2 linked regions of the Schizosaccharomyces pombe genome follow. Changing the gene in region 1 together with any one later gene gives a genetic interaction. Each region holds a gene or a part of one and is shown in the gene's direction. Other genes may lie near its edges.

Region 1 (8,532 bases):
TTTCAGGGCTGTATCCCCCTTCAACCTAAGTTTATATGTGATTTTTCCAATCAATTTAAGCTTATCCATAGAAGAAAAATCTCTTTTTAAAGGCTCCAGTCCTTCCGGCAGATAGAAAACTTCTTGTGTAGCAAAAGTCACGATCGTTTTCCAAGTAGAACCCGGGAACGACCTATAGGTATCCAAAGCAGTTAATTTATCCTTCTTGGAGAAATCCTTTGTAAAAAATTTAACTTTGGAAATTTCAGTGGGAAACAGATCAGGAAATCTGTCAAAGATGAGAGCCATTCTATTCAGGAAAGCGAGGTAATATTCAAGTTGTACATGTAGCGAGCCTTTCGGAGGGTTATAAATGCATTGCTTGTGAATCATATCAATCAATATGGGCGTAGAAGTGTAGTATTTGTCCAAGAAATGTATCAGTGTTGCAGGGAACCATCGCGCATACAAAAGCAGCAAAATAGTCGAGCTTGGGCTTAAATTGTTGTACAAATCCTTGTAAGATTCCTCGATATCTTCATTTATATGAGATGCATGCGCATCATTATAATGTGAAGATTTTCTTTTCATTGTGTTCAACCAACCTTACGCGCGCGCCTTATTTCCGAATGTTGTTTACGTCTCACAAAACAAGTCAACGTGACAATTGGCCTACAAAGTAATGGTAGTTGTCCAAAATTTTGTAATTATATATTCTTCAAAAGTAGATTCTTCCAATTTCCCAAATCCGTCCCTCCACGATGGAGTTGGTAAATGGAAAAGCTATGTATTTCATTACAACCTATACATCGTATCCATGACCTCATGGGCTAGTTTAGGATACGAACGCTGGAATGCGCCAAAATCGCTTAGTGAAATTGAAGCCAACATCCTTAATTTAAAAGGCTTGAATTGGCTCAAATATGCATATAAACGGTGCTGCTTCTCAATCCTAATTAAACAATTATTTGTAATTCAATTTATATTTTATCAATTTCTCTTCATTGGGAACAAGACCTGATACTTCTTTTGTTTTCTGATCCTAAAAAAACGGGAAACTGCGACTGGTTTTCCAGTCCTCGATTTCTCCGAATTGTATCTTAGACGAGAAATTCTCTCATAAATTCTTGGAAAAGCAGCTGTGTAATTTTACACGCACTGTCAAAACCGATTTGGTCGTAGAACTACTCGTTCGCTCCGTTATAAACAAAAGAAAGTATATAGCGTATGTTGGCGGAAATCTTATAAAATTATATAAAAATACATGTGTTATTTATAAAATACGATATCAGTTAAAAATAAAAACTAATTCGCATGTAAATAATAACGAAAACCCCTGTTTTCTGCGTATATATATATATTTTTTTTTTCAATTGAAAGACTATCAAATACATGTCAAGATTTTTCTTCTAATAACTTGGAGAAGGAATCTTGTTGAAAAGATACTATTTATTTTGAACGGGTTAACTCTCATTTGTTTGATATCTATGGACTTTGCTCATGCACATCGTACAAAGCCGTTTATATGGTAATGCTTTAACTAAACGAAATTAATCTCTTTTTTCCAAAGATGCTAAAGAACTTTTATTTATTTTCACATTCGTTCGGCAAGTAGGTAATTTCCGTCATAATTCTATAAGAGGCGAATATGCAATTGTTAATATATTTACATCTTGTCCTTTCACACTTCAAATAATAAATAATAAAGCAAGATTAAAAGCAAGAAATACAATTGAAAAATCGTAAATATATACAGAGATTTTGTCTTCGGTATGGCCTATTCCACATTGAAAATTTCGCAACCCGGTATGGTGGCTACAATATTAGTTACATTCAAAGTGTATTTGTTGAATCTTTTGTGCACAGTATATGGATCTGAAATTTCATTCTCATTCACTAGAGGCATCATTGGTAATATTGAATCCCTGGCATGTTATATTGGGCTTTGTTTTTTTGTTTATGGTATGAAGGGATAGGATTAAAGGCTTCGTTCAAAAAATATATCTAATGTACAGTAGGTATTCTGCAATCAAATTTTGAGTTTGTAGTCTGGTGAATTTATCGCACCATCTAATTGAGATCGACAATTATCAAGGGAGCTTTCACATAGAGTATTAAGAAGCACTAGAGATATGGGTCAAAGCATGTATGGTTTTTTGTTTTCTTTATTCATTTTTTCAAAGTTTAAATTTAAATGGAACTTTTTAAGGCATGTTGGCACCACCGATTTGCAATTCAAAATTGAACCAAATTAGCAACATTTTGGATTGGCTACTGTTAATCAACCTTTAGAGCCTGCAGAAAATTTATCCAGAAATGGAGTACATGACTTCTCCATTGTCATTCAAAATTAACAAGCGAAAAAACCAAATACCAACATGTGCTTCTAGAATGGGTTATGGGTTATCGCGTTCTGAAAGTTGGCTGGAGACTCAATCTTTTTTAATTGACCTTGTTTATCTAATGAGCTCAAGTTTAACCATTATTAAAAAATGAATGCTCGAATGCAAAGGTATTTGGTTCCTTACTTTATTAATTTTGCGAGAAGCTTGTTTATAGGCATTCTTTGTACCGAAATCAAAACCCGATAGTCAAATATAATAGTTTTTAATCATTATAAAAATGGCGATGCGACTAATTGTGTAAAAAGTTTTTCTATGGACAATCTTACTGTTGTTTCATTTCTTTTATTATTATAGAGCAATTGAACATACTATTGTTTTTTAAAAACGCTCAACTTTCTTATTTAGACACAGATGGGTTAGACTCCGTGCTGCACACTGATACAAAGTCAGCTACGCAGTTTGGTATCTGCTTTAACGATAACATAGAACTGCGGTAATTTTTCCTTGTTAACGTATTACAATACACAGGTATTACAAGTAGCAATTGAGTATAGGTATTAAATTATCTAGATTGCATTGTGACCTATAACTAATATAGCTTATAACTGAAGTTCATTCCTCAGTTCAGTTGCAGCTCAATTTATAATCTTTTTAGTCTTCATTAGCCAGCGTCTATGTAAATATGAAAATGGTTTTGCGCATTTATCAATAAACTGCTCTAAAGTAATATCCTAACATATGACATATAGTGATACGTTACGTGTTCTTCATTAGAGCAGTGTGTTGTTAACACCGTATTTCCTTTACGGGGCGATTCTCCGTTTCTTTAAATTTTGACTTCTGTAAAGGAGTGCGATTCAACAACCTGGTCGAAATACAAACTGTTATAACATGAATTGGCATTGCTAGTTTGGATTGTTGTTTGAAAGTTGATTTGTATATTATAACTTTAAAATTACTTTGTACTTGATACCTTTTTCAAATTTCAGAGCTTCAATTTTGCTCTGAAATTGAACACATCGACTTTATATATTTATTGCTCATTACTAAAAAACATTCAGTTTTATATTCTGAGTTCGCGGTCGTCTATTATTTTAGTCCTTTAGCAATTGTCATATTAACATAAACCCTCTCCTTATTTTATTTTTTAAATTCGTTCAGGCATCATTTGGAGGGTTTGCTAAAAATCATCTCACCAAACAAGAGGTTATTAGTTTTGCGAATGTCGCCTAAACAAGAGGAGTATGAAGTTGAAAGGATTGTGGACGAAAAATTGGATCGTAATGGAGCTGTCAAACTATATCGCATTCGATGGTTGAACTATTCATCTAGAAGTGATACTTGGGAGCCCCCTGAGAACCTTTCTGGATGTTCTGCCGTTTTAGCAGAATGGAAAAGGCGGAAGAGGAGACTAAAGGGAAGTAACTCCGACTCGGATTCACCGCACCATGCGAGCAATCCACATCCAAACAGTAGACAAAAGCACCAACATCAAACTTCAAAGTCAGTGCCTCGTTCTCAAAGATTTTCGCGGGAATTGAATGTAAAAAAGGAAAATAAAAAGGTTTTTTCTTCTCAAACTACCAAGAGACAATCTCGAAAACAATCCACCGCTCTGACGACGAATGATACTAGTATCATTTTAGACGATAGTCTTCATACAAATTCAAAGAAGCTGGGGAAGACGAGAAATGAAGTGAAGGAGGAATCTCAAAAAAGAGAACTAGTTTCCAATTCTATTAAAGAAGCTACATCCCCCAAAACATCTTCAATTCTCACAAAACCGCGAAACCCTTCCAAACTTGACTCTTATACCCATCTAAGTTTTTACGAAAAGAGAGAGCTATTTCGTAAGAAACTGCGGGAAATTGAAGGACCCGAAGTAACGCTTGTCAATGAAGTTGACGATGAACCCTGTCCATCTTTAGATTTTCAATTCATTAGCCAGTACCGCTTAACACAAGGTGTTATCCCGCCTGATCCAAATTTTCAATCTGGATGCAATTGCTCGTCCCTTGGCGGTTGTGACCTTAACAATCCTTCTCGTTGTGAGTGTTTAGATGATTTGGATGAGCCAACTCATTTTGCCTATGATGCACAGGGGCGGGTCCGTGCAGATACGGGTGCCGTTATATATGAATGCAACTCTTTTTGTTCTTGTTCAATGGAGTGTCCTAATCGCGTTGTTCAACGTGGTAGAACTCTTCCGCTTGAAATATTTAAAACAAAAGAAAAAGGATGGGGTGTACGTTCGCTTCGATTTGCCCCTGCTGGCACGTTTATCACTTGCTATTTAGGAGAAGTCATAACTTCAGCAGAGGCCGCCAAGCGTGACAAAAATTATGACGACGACGGTATTACCTATTTATTTGATTTAGACATGTTTGATGATGCTAGCGAGTATACAGTGGATGCTCAGAACTATGGAGATGTCTCTCGTTTTTTTAACCACTCCTGTTCACCTAATATAGCTATTTATTCTGCTGTTCGGAACCATGGATTTCGAACCATTTATGATCTCGCTTTTTTTGCCATCAAAGACATTCAGCCTCTAGAGGAGCTTACATTTGATTACGCTGGTGCAAAAGATTTCTCACCTGTTCAATCTCAAAAATCTCAGCAAAATAGAATTTCAAAACTTCGCCGGCAGTGCAAATGTGGTTCCGCTAATTGTCGTGGCTGGCTTTTCGGTTAAGCTAATTTATTACTGGTTGACTCCAATAATTACAATTTGTTTTTCTCCATTACTGTTAAACTGAAAAAGGTCATTCATTTTCTAAGCAACGAGATTATGTATATTATCTGACCTGTGGGATTTGCCGAACAATTATCGGTAAAACATATCGGTGCTTATATTTTTTACACTTGTTGAAAGCATTATAGTAATTGTTGTAAAGCCTAGCGTTAATGGAAAAACTCTTTTCATCTGCTGCGCACATGTGAAGTAAAAAGGGCGTTTAAGCGTTAACGGTAATGGACCGTCCTTCAGAAGCTATAGAAGGAGCTGCTTCTGTTTCGAGCACCTGGGGCATCTGATTGTTTTCTCCTTCTGCTGAGGCGAGGGCATCAGTTGTTTCTTCAGCTGGGTCTTCTTGTGCAGCTGTTCGAGGCGTTGGAGTTGTTGTAGGAGTTAAGGGAGTTTCCGGTTTTATTGTGGTTTTTGAGAACTGGGAAATTTCTTTTAGTCTCCCGTCTTTATCAAACTTCTTATGCACTTTTTTTTGCACCAAACCTGAGAGCTTCTTTGAAAGGTTGGAAGGAAATATCTCAAATCCTGCCTTAGCAAATTCAAGGGAAGGATCTGCCTGTAAAGTTTTAACACTTTTGGTAGGTTTAGCATACTTGTGAAGCTTAAAGCCGAATACTCTCTTGTTGCCTCCTTTTTTCTTCTTATGATGCCGATGATGCTTTTTTCCGGCTTTCTTAGACGTTCTATCTTCATTGCTGACAACACTCTCTTCATTAGTAGCTGCAGTGGAAGGGTCTTGATCGTCTGCAGTAGGGGTCGCAACATCGGGAAGTGCTATATCAGGAAGTGCAATATCAGTCTCTTCTATGAAAGCTTGTTCAACTGATTGGGCTGTACCTTTAACATCTTCTTCAATGGCGTCTGCTATTTGACCGATGGGGGTTCCGTTATCATTTTGAGTAGAAGCTTGCTCAACATTTTGAGTTGATGTTGATTCTTCTGCCGGACCTGTGGCTGGTTTTTCTTCTGATGCGGGAGCCACTTCTTCCGTAGTAGCAGGAAAATGTTCTTCAGTGGTGGGAATTTGGTTAGTTTCATTCTCAGGAACTTCGACTGATTGTGCTTCAACAGTAGTATCAACCGGGTCAGCTGACGTTTCATTATCAATGGGACTAGCCGTATCGTTTTGCGGAGTTTTCCCCTTAATCATGTTTTGAAAAAAGTCAAAAAGACCGTCTTTGGCAACAGAATTGTTTTGTTTTCCGCCATGAGATTTACTAGATGACTTTTTCGCGTCCCGTCCGTTAGAAAGCATTGGAAGGAAATAACGAAATGTTTCACTTGCTGAAGGACCTGAACGAGCTGCTAACTTGCCGAGTCTTTTAAGCGTGTCATTGTAAGCACGAAGCTCTTTAATTTTATCTTTGGTTTCCTTTTTCTTAGCAATGGCATTTTTGAGATCAGTAATCCATGTATTTTTACTTTCTGGGTCTAGGGCTTCAAGTGTTTCTGATTTACCATTGTTAAAATTGATGGTGAATTTGTTTCCAGTACCGGGTTCTATGGATACTGCATCAGTCTGAAAATACAGTTAGCACGGTTAAAACTAAAAATCAGGGGAATTAGGAATTCTTACCAAATTAATGATTCCGCTTGGGACACTAGTTGATTGAGATTTGGAGTAAAAGAGTAAACCACGGCAGTCTTGAGTAGCTTTAGCGATACGGTTAAGGTGATCATTAGCAGACTGGAAGAGGGAATCAGCATCAGAGTCGTGCATTTGCTCAGAAGCTAAGGAAGGTTCCGTTGGGTTACCTTGCAAAGTACCATGGAAGTGTTTTTTATAATAATGGTCTAATAAATCCATAGACATAGGGCCTTCTAGCATATAAAAATACCTTTTCATGACATGACTACATGTGGTTAGTAAGATTACTCAATCGATTGTTTGATTTTTAATAAATGGATGCTGTTTTGACTTACGGAATAAGTCCGTTGGATCGACAGTATAAATACCCACCAGTGGTGTAGGTCAATGGTTTTTCATCCTTGGCTTTCTTCTTGGATTTTTTTTCTTCAACCTTGGGAGCTGCCACGCTGTTTGGATCATCATCTGCAGGATCGATATTGTCGACTGTTTCAGGCTCCTTGGGTTCCTCAGGTGCTTGTACTTCTGCAGGAACAGCGTTTTCAGTGGCATCATCATTGTCGGTTTCGTTGCTCAATGGCACCTCCAGTGTCTCCACCTGGGCCTCAGCAGATCCCGAATCATGTTCATTGTGTTCCGACACATTTTCGAAAGTAGGTTCAGCAATCTGCTCAGGTCGTTCTTCACGGCCCTCATAAGACATGATAAGAAGTCGAAAACAACAGTTAGGCTCTCAATTTTGGATTTTTTTTATGCTGTAAATATTTGTGGTAGAGGAAAAGTCTGCGCCAAGCTGGTTATTTGAATACCAATTGTTGGCGAGAATGTAAACAAACAAATCGACTACCTAATATACAAACAAACGATGGACATCAATAGAAAAGGGAAAATACATAGAATTTACTTTTTAAATGTTAAAAAATTTCTACTAATTCATTCTTATTAATAAAATCTTCAACGGCCATTAAATCTTGTATTCGCTCATTCGTATCAAAACATATACATTCTTCTGGAATCGAGCTGTCTGCGATTGAATGAACTATATAGTATTGAGAGATTTTACAATTAAGTGTTTGTCTTTAATTTCTAATTGCGACTACCATCCTAAAATTTTCATTTGAGTTGAAATCTGTTTAACAACAACAGATGAGCCATATTTTTCATTGACTTTATACATGATTGTCACCATTAGTTCCTTTTTTTATAAAAATTAAATGTTGTTTAACTATTCTGCTCATTTGTTTTGCTTAAAAACTAAGTAGGTTTTAATTGGTAAGAATTTTACGAGATTTTAAATTTTTATTTATTTACTTATTATTTTTGACGAACGCTAGTTTCAAAAAAGCAAATCCAAACTCGAGGTATTTTCAAATTGTTTAAAATTTTCAATAGAATGGAAGGATGTTTTTTAATGCTTTCCACATCTTTGAATTGGAAATTTCCTTTTAATATTTACACTTCTTCCAAGAAAACTATAGCAATTTGTTTCATTATAACGACATAAGTTTGTAGGAGAAAAAGTGTGAGAATATAAAAGTTCCATAATAATACATTATTCTCTATGGATTAATTATTTTTTTTAAATATTTTTTTAAGTTAAAAAGCTGGTCTTTCCATCCATGTAAAAATTGGAAAAGGAATATCGAGAAAGCAAAATAAACCAGGCCCTACCTGCGGAAAGGGATTTTTCTTATTATTCAAGAATACTAGCAGCTTACCTCTAACGATTAAAACAATGTATATTTTTGTTTCAATACTATTTATTTATAAATTGAATAAGTAACCCAACTTACGCCAGGTTATTTTCGCATTTTATGTAAACGCTATAATGCGATAGAAATCGCTAATTTGTACTGGATTGAGTAAGTATG
Region 2 (7,894 bases), on another chromosome or scaffold:
TGCTTTCGTTAGCTCAGAGCAATGAGTCCTAATTTCTCTTACCTTTATAGGTTGATAATTCACTCATAATAAGTTGCTATCGCTCTGCTAACGACCATTTGAGAAATTTGCCTTTTATATGGCCGCTCAAAACGGAAATTGCTTTTCTATTGAAAATTGATGATCACAAATATTTATTTTGGGATAGTATTAATGCACTAAAAGAAAGTTATGTGCATACAAGAAAATTTAGCACAGACTTGAACTTGAATTGGATACAAGTTGTGAATGAAATAACGGCGTCTACAACATTTCCAAATGTAACGAAAAGCGATAACAAAGCTAAATCGCTAAACATATAGCTAACTACATTTCATATATATACTGGGCAACCAACAAACCACAGTTATATAGTTATTATACACCAAATTACATATACAAGAATCAGATCTGCTTCAGCGAAATGATATCAAATGCATACATTATACTACACTCTGAAGTCAATATGCTTTAACAATCAAAAAAATATGTTCAGTAACTACTTGCCAATTTTATAAAAATTTTAGATACATATGTGCAGTGCACTGCTCTTCTACTTAGCGCATGCATAACCAACTCGATGGAATCTTACAAGGGCCGGAAATGCCAAAGTTTCAATAAATAAGAAGTCCCGCAAGTGCCAACACAAAGATAGATTTACCTATTTACCTAAGGTTATGAATCTAAAACTTCATCAAGTGAGGACGGTCACCGTTAGACAAAGCGAAGGAAGCAGCGAGGTATTCCTTCATATTAGGGATAGCCTTGATAGCAGGGAGAAGCTTAGCATCAACGGCCTTTTGGTCAGCAATACGCTCAGCGGGAAGAGCGTTCTTGGGAGCGTTCTCGGCGAAGAAAGCTTCATCCTTCTTGACGGGTCCGCTACGCTTTTGCTTGGCAAAGTAAGCCTTGGTGAACTTCTCAACAGAGACACCGGAGACATCGATCTTGGGGGCAGAGGTAGCAATCACATAACGGTGGTTGACACGACGGATAGGGACACCGTTGACCTTGTAAGGGCCAGTAACGACAAGAGTGTCCTCCAATTGACTGAGGACAACAACACGCTTACCACGGAAGCGTCCAGCCAACAAAATGCAAACAGTTCCGGGTGCTAAAGAAGCACGGAGCTTGGTAGGGCGTACAGCCTTACGAGCCTTCTTGGGGACGTTTTCACGGTAGGCAGGATAGTATTTAGCGGCGGCCTCGCCGGCAGGCAACACCATACGTTCTCCGCCGTTCTTAGCTCCGTTGACCTTGACTGTAGACATCTTTTTATGCTTGGAGTTTTTGGGTGGTGTAGAGATTCTTCTAACATAAAATGAGAAATTTAGTGACTCCCAAAAAGAACAGTCACATGTTGTGTTAGCACTTTAGGGTAGGGCAAGGACGAAAGTTAGAGCAGTCCAGCACTGAACAGCGTTGCTCATGGGAAATGGTAAAATGATAAAATTATAAGTAATGTATCGTTATATGATTAAAAATTCCGTATTCCAGTGTTCGAAGAATATGGATATAATTGAAACAAAAAGATGCCTTTAAAGTAGTCAATTGAGCCGAAGTTGCTTTCGATAATAATTCCTGAATCAAATGATAAATACTGCAAAATAGGCAGTGTAAAAATGAAGAAACTGAGAACGTCATTTGTGCCAAAACATAATATAGTGGATAAAGGCAATAATAAAATGCTGGGAATGCAATTCATGAATCAAATTTTAGGATTTTTAAATCGTACCCTTGATTTATCTTTCATTAAATTGCATGTTACATGAATTTATTCATCCAAGCTCTTAACTTCTGCATTTCCAAGCTTTTGCTTTTTTCTGAGTAACAAAGTAGTTTGATCGCCATCCTTGCTTTTTTTCTTTCTATCCTTCTTTGCTTCTTTTTTTTCAAATTTATTCAAATGCTCCTTCCGGGATGCTGCTCCTAAATTGGACAAACGCGCTGATTCTTTCATTAATTCGACATCATCTGATGATTTACCTACCATAAATCGTAAAAGTTCAACCTCTTTCTTCCATTGCTCTGGAGATTTGGCAGGAGTCTCCAAAACTAATGGGATCCCATCCCACCGTGAATCATTCATTATTAGTCGAAAAGGCTCTAATCCTAAAAATCCTAAACCAATGTTTTCATGCAAATCACGATTGCTACCAAGAGGAGCCTTGGAATCATTTAAGTGCCATCCAGACACGTATTTGGCTCCAACCTTTTCGTCAAACTCGTCAATAACTTTTTTGTAGCTCTCTTCGGTGCGAATATCGTAGCCTGCAGCAAATGTATGACAGGTGTCCAAGCAAACCCTCCAACGGTCTAAGTTCTTAATCTTTGACTTTAAAGCTGCAAAGTCATCAAAGGTCCCTCCCAGACAATTTCCCTGACCAGCCATGTTCTCTGTAACTATAATAACGCTTTTGGTCTCTTCGTGCGCACGATTGATGCATTCTGCTAAGTTGTTGATTCCTTCTTCCTTTGTACACGAAGCAGTACTACCAGGACTACAAAGATCAAAAGAGTTAGTACGTTTTGGGTAAAATATAAGTAAATAGAGCACACTATGAATGACATACTGAAAATTGTACAAACCAACACCAAGTCTTTCACAGCGCTTCAGGTCGTCGACAAAGCAATTGAATGCCTGTTCTCTTTTCTGCTCATCGGCATTGGCCATGTTAATCAGATAGCTTCCATGGACAAGAACCTGTTTGCTCGCATCGAATTTCATTTCGGATGCTGTCTCCAAGAATTTTTGAGCAACATCCTCCGATAAATCCGGAGAGGTCCATTTTCTTTGTGATTTTACAAAAAAAGCACAACTATTGGCACTGATATAAAATTTCGTTAGCAGATAAGCTTTGTTTATTGCACACATCAGTCACCTCCTTCAAAATTATGTGAGAAAAGTTTATAGCATAAGCTATGGTTTTTGAAAACGACAAATAGACGTACCATCAGCAAATCCTCTAACAATTTGCTAATAACTACTAGTGAATCAGTTTGCAAGTCGCAATAATGCACGATTACGCCAAGCCTAACGTACACTTTCTCAACATATTCAAGCTGATTGCTTTAAGAATATACTTACTTGATATTTTTCATATTGATTAGAGCGTTAAAAACGCCCCCAGCTGCAGAAATATGCGCGCCTACTAATTTTCATGCAACCTCCATAGCTTCCTCAGAATCCTCTTGTTTAAGGTCCTTTTCAGGAGAACTTTCTTTAATTTCTTCTTCTTGACTCATCAAGTATGCTTTTGAAGAAATGTTTAGAAAGACGCAACTATATACCTAGCAAGTGTGTAAATACTCGGTTTAAGTAACAAAAAGTAACATTTTCCTAACACTTAGACCTAGCGTCTGTAATTGTAATATCGCGTGCGTAGTACCAACATTTAATTACTATTCAAAAATTCTGGGTAGTTTGTAACTCAACTCTACGGAAGCTTTAGAATTGGCTCATCTTTCCAAAGCTGCACAATAGAAGTGCGCTTGTGCTAAATCGTATAAAAGAGACACGCAAGCTTATGGAGTGGACGTTTTGAAGTCTATGGATTACTGCTTATTTATAATTGATATTATTTCGTTTCTTGAACAAAGCTTCAGGTTGAATTAGAGGATCATCATTATTGTTGACTGAGAGTTCGGTTTTATTGGCATTTTGAAGAAAAAGTTAGACTCAAATCTAACGAGTTTGCCTGCTTTTTTTTGGATACTTATCATTTCTGTTATTATATGTAATGCTATATTACTAGTCACTAGCAGTTTTAAACTCATTTTTTTTTTCAAAGAACACAGCCATAGAATCTCCTTAGTTTGCATCGCAATTTTATAGTTACCTTTTTGCTAGTAAGCAATTAATTTTTGGGACTTTTAAGATGGATTCCTGGCTTGAATACGATGACATTATAAATCAAGACATTGATATTCCTAGCAATGACCTGAGTGGTTCAGGCACTCTCTGCGTTGGTGTACACTCTTCCCTTTTAGAAAACTCTTTAAACTCAATAGACTCGTTTATTTCTTCGAAAGAGGAAATTTCATGGTGCGGAAACCAGTCAACTCCTATTGCGACAAAATCACATTTATCCTGCATAAACCCTCAATACGTCAATCCTTTTGATACTTCACCTGTCTCGGTAGATACAGAATTTCAGGATACATATTTGCTTGATGCACCTTCCTTTGCACAGCCTCACTTCAGTGAGAGACAATCTGTAGACAAAACAAGATCACGATGCCTTAGTCGTAATCGTCGTCGAAAAAGACATCCCAATCTTCATAAAAACCATCAAAGATTACTTGGCATGTCTTTTCCACAAGACGGCTTTCGTCGTATGCCTGCCGAAAGTGTAAATTTTAGTTATTTTAGGGATACTGGATTTAATGAACCCACAATATTTCCTTCGTCTGATACACAAAATACGCGGCAACTAAATCTGAGTAAAATCGCTACTTTAATTGGTTATGATTGTCCGCTCGCCCTTGTGGATGTTGTGACACAAAAACAAATTCCAAATAAAATGGACATGGAAAGTTGGGTAAAGTACATGAGCCTCGAGCCCAGCAAACGTGGTCGAATATACGACGTCTTGAGCTTAGAGGTTTCTACAACAAAACTTGCCTATTACGTCCGGAAGCCTAACATCGTTCGTGATCTCGATTTGGTTAATACTGTCTGGCCTCCTGGTTCCTTTGCGTTGGGTGAGTATCCCCATGTTGATACTTACTGCTTAATGTCAGCGGAAAACTCGTATACTGAATTCCATATTGAATTTGGTGGATCCTCAGCTTACTACAATATTCTAGACGGATGTAAGATATTTTACCTTATTCCAGGAACATCTAAGAATTGGGAAGCTTATACAGCCTGGCTAACATCTTCAAATGACAGCGACAAAAAGTTTCTACCCAATATGGTTGATGTATGCTACTGCGTCGAAGTTCATTCGCAGCAAACAATTTTGGTTCCTTCAGGATGGATTTATGCCGTTGTGACACCTTGTGATACAATTTCTATTGCTGGTAATTTCTTAACGTTCCTTCATATCTATCCCCAGTTGTCAATCTACAATCTTGAGCTACAATTGGGAATTGAAAAAGAGTATCAGTATCCATATTTCGAGAGCATAATGTGGTACACAGCTATACATTTTTACCTTGCGTTCCCAGATAATTCGAGTCGTGATGGAATTGATGATATAATTGCTGAATATGAAACTGGTAGATTGTTTGATATCAATGCGTTTACAGAACAAGAATTGGATGGATTTGAAGAATTGCTTAATTATCTTTATATTCGTGCGCAGATTTTACGAGATTGCGATATAATTATAGACATTTATAATGAACCCGTAAAAATATCAAAAAATAATGGCTATAACTCAGCATATACGATGGTACCTCCGGATTTGGATGAGATTTGTGTTGACTTTGTACAAAAGTTTGGCGCCTGGATTACTTACCATCATAGACGTAGCGCTAAACACCCATCTTGCAATTGTTTTTCACACCTACAAACGAAGCTTATAGATTCGGGGCCTAAACCTGCAAATAACTCTTATCAGCATCAGTCTAATTTCATTGGCGTTGTGATTTCAACTAATCATAATATCATTAAGAAATGTCAAGAATCTCAAATACAAACAGGAAAGAATAATTGCTCTTTTCAGTTAGTAAAAAAGAGGATTAAGAGTACTAAAAAGGCACCCAGCTGGCGCTCGATAATTAAGGCTTTCAAGAAGCGAGAAAATACTAGGTGTAATTTTCTGTCAAGTTTACATGCAACTACGTTTCGTGAGGACATTGTCGTTCGTCCTAAAATCAAGTCATTCGTTCTCGAACAGTTGATCTTTCAGGCGTTGTTTTCATTTGCTATCAATTGGACACCAAGCTTCTTTTTGAATCACTCCAATTTTGAGAATATTGCGTTGAGTAAAGAAACGTTTAACTTTGGAGGTGAAGCCAATTGCGAAAATACGGACACCACATTATTTACTACTTGGGGCGATCAAGGTTTTAGACCAAGTGATTCTATTTGCTATAACGACTTTAATTTATTGGAAACGGCGAATTCTGATGCTGAAGCTTCAATACATGAACTCGAACTTCAACCGCTGAATGCAGTGAATGAAAGAGAGGTTGATATATCGCAAACCGACATGACTCCATCCACGGCGTTAGACACTAGGGTAGACACTAGGGTAGACTCTTTACCAGAATTTTCAAACTTGATACTTTCGCCCTCAAGCAATGACGACAGTTTTCAACTTGACGACTTGTTGTCCCCCTCTTCATCAAATCTCAAACAACAGATTCAAAAAGTCGTTCCTCAAAATTCCCTAGAATTTTCTGTTGGTGAGAAAGAAAAAAAGGCAGCCGAATATAGCCTGCTTCATACGTTTTCTTACAAACGACTCTCTATGGAAAATGAGAAACCAGATACTACAAAGGTACCTTTAAAATATAACATACAACATGAAGAAATGAAAGCGTATCGAAGAAAAAATGATTTAGAATATATAGATCAGCACTTTGCAAGCTCTAAGAGTGGAATTTCGAATGGGAGGAATAATAATAAAGAGGTCAACTTAACAAAAGCTGAAAATGTCGGCATCAAAAAACGTCGAATCATGAAAAATGAAAATAACATTTATGATTTTGAAGATCACTCTCCTGTTAGGGAAAAATGGGGGCACAGGCTTCGGTCCAGAGGTGCTAGTTAAAGTACCTCGGCACTTTTTATTTCCTTCGGCTACCATTGAATATTTATCCCCACGTGCTTATGATTCTTGAGTAGTTCACATTTTATGAGTATATCATGAAGGTTTCATCAAATAATTAAGACTCTTTTTTTTTCTATTAATTGGGTTTTTATTTATAAAACGATTAAGAGCATCAATCCACTTTGACTCGTTGTTTGCTTTTAAACTACGATCGTCCTAAAATGATTTATGGACTACATAACACACAATGGAGTCATTGAAAGCGTGGACATCCCCATGAAGCGGCGCAGGGACACTCAACCTGAACGGATTGTATCAAAGCCGGATACTACAACACACTTTTTAATATGAATGTCTCCTATTGGCGTCGTCTCGTCTACTTTATCCATCTCAGCTGATGCAACGACGCTTCAGGGTTTTCCATCCAAATCCCAATTTACCAGCCTTACTTTTTTATAATGTGCTAATATTGTTGAATTGTGCTCAAATATGTACATATACTACCCGATATAATGATTCTATAAATACTCTTTTTCTGTTTTTTTTTTTGGAACTCATATAAATAAATAATCCGGCGATCTAACTACAAGCCACGTTTCTATTAATCTAATCGGTCGTTTCATCTTTGAATATTATTTAATTAATTTATTTTCCTATTTTAATTGTTAATACTACTAGAAACAATGGTAATATTCTAGATTTCTATTATCTTAAGATTTCCGCATTGCAACCTGCTAAGTAATCTTATCAATGCGTTAGAACGCGTAATGTTATTTTACATTTTACGGTCCGCAAGCTAAAGCATGCACTATGTATTCATTGCCATACGCGAGCAATGTACCCGGCCTTAACAATACAGTAGACGGATATTGGAATTCAAGCGGAATTGAATATTTCTGCTTTGAATTGACTTAAAATAATGAATGAAGATGAAACTTCAATTTTAAATAAGAAAATGGAGAAAATTGAGGTAGAAATGGCGGAATTTGAACGATTGGGCGCTGAAAGAGAGAAGGAGGCGGTCGAAAGAATTGTTCAAGAGGAAAATCAAAATCCTGAAGTTCCATCGAACGATGACGCGTCCACAGATATTAAATCGCGAAAAGAAGGAAATATGAAAGTCACCGCCGAGGAAATTGGTTTGGAGACTG

What was found.
Region 2: of clr4 (region 1) and epe1, changing one suppresses a phenotype caused by changing the other (phenotypic suppression), as found in Schizosaccharomyces pombe (7 studies listed by BioGRID, with this or other methods).

What each region holds. Positions count from the first base shown.
Region 1 is NC_003423.3:453,062-461,593, reverse strand, and holds clr4 (histone lysine H3-K9 methyltransferase (Suv39) Clr4), read left to right. Parts: upstream 1-3,183; 5' UTR 3,184-3,546; coding exon 3,547-5,019; 3' UTR 5,020-5,281; coding exon of another isoform or gene 5,282-6,592; 3' UTR 6,593-6,649; coding exon of another isoform or gene 6,650-6,926; 3' UTR 6,927-6,996; coding exon of another isoform or gene 6,997-7,364; 3' UTR 7,365-7,598; downstream 7,599-8,532. Other genes in the region: SPOM_SPBC428.10 (uncharacterized protein), read right to left, coding at 1-570; pleckstrin homology domain protein Meu6, read right to left, coding at 5,282-6,592, 6,650-6,926, 6,997-7,364. UniProt on the Schizosaccharomyces pombe protein: Histone methyltransferase which contributes to the establishment of heterochromatin by specifically methylating histone H3 to form H3K9me. Part of the Clr4 methyltransferase complex (ClrC).
Region 2 is NC_003421.2:1,430,548-1,438,441, reverse strand, and holds epe1 (Jmjc domain-containing protein Epe1), read left to right. Parts: upstream 1-3,400; 5' UTR 3,401-3,896; coding exon 3,897-6,743; 3' UTR 6,744-7,394; downstream 7,395-7,894. Other genes in the region: histone demethylase Jmj4, read right to left, coding at 43-67; rpl6 (60S ribosomal protein eL6), read right to left, coding at 702-1,289; apn1 (AP endonuclease, minor transcript), read right to left, coding at 1,793-2,519, 2,592-2,846, 3,107-3,170, 3,261-3,264; SPOM_SPCC622.15C (uncharacterized protein), read left to right, coding at 7,663-7,894. UniProt on the Schizosaccharomyces pombe protein: May be a histone demethylase that specifically demethylates 'Lys-36' of histone H3, thereby playing a central role in histone code. Represses transcriptional silencing by negatively affecting heterochromatin stability.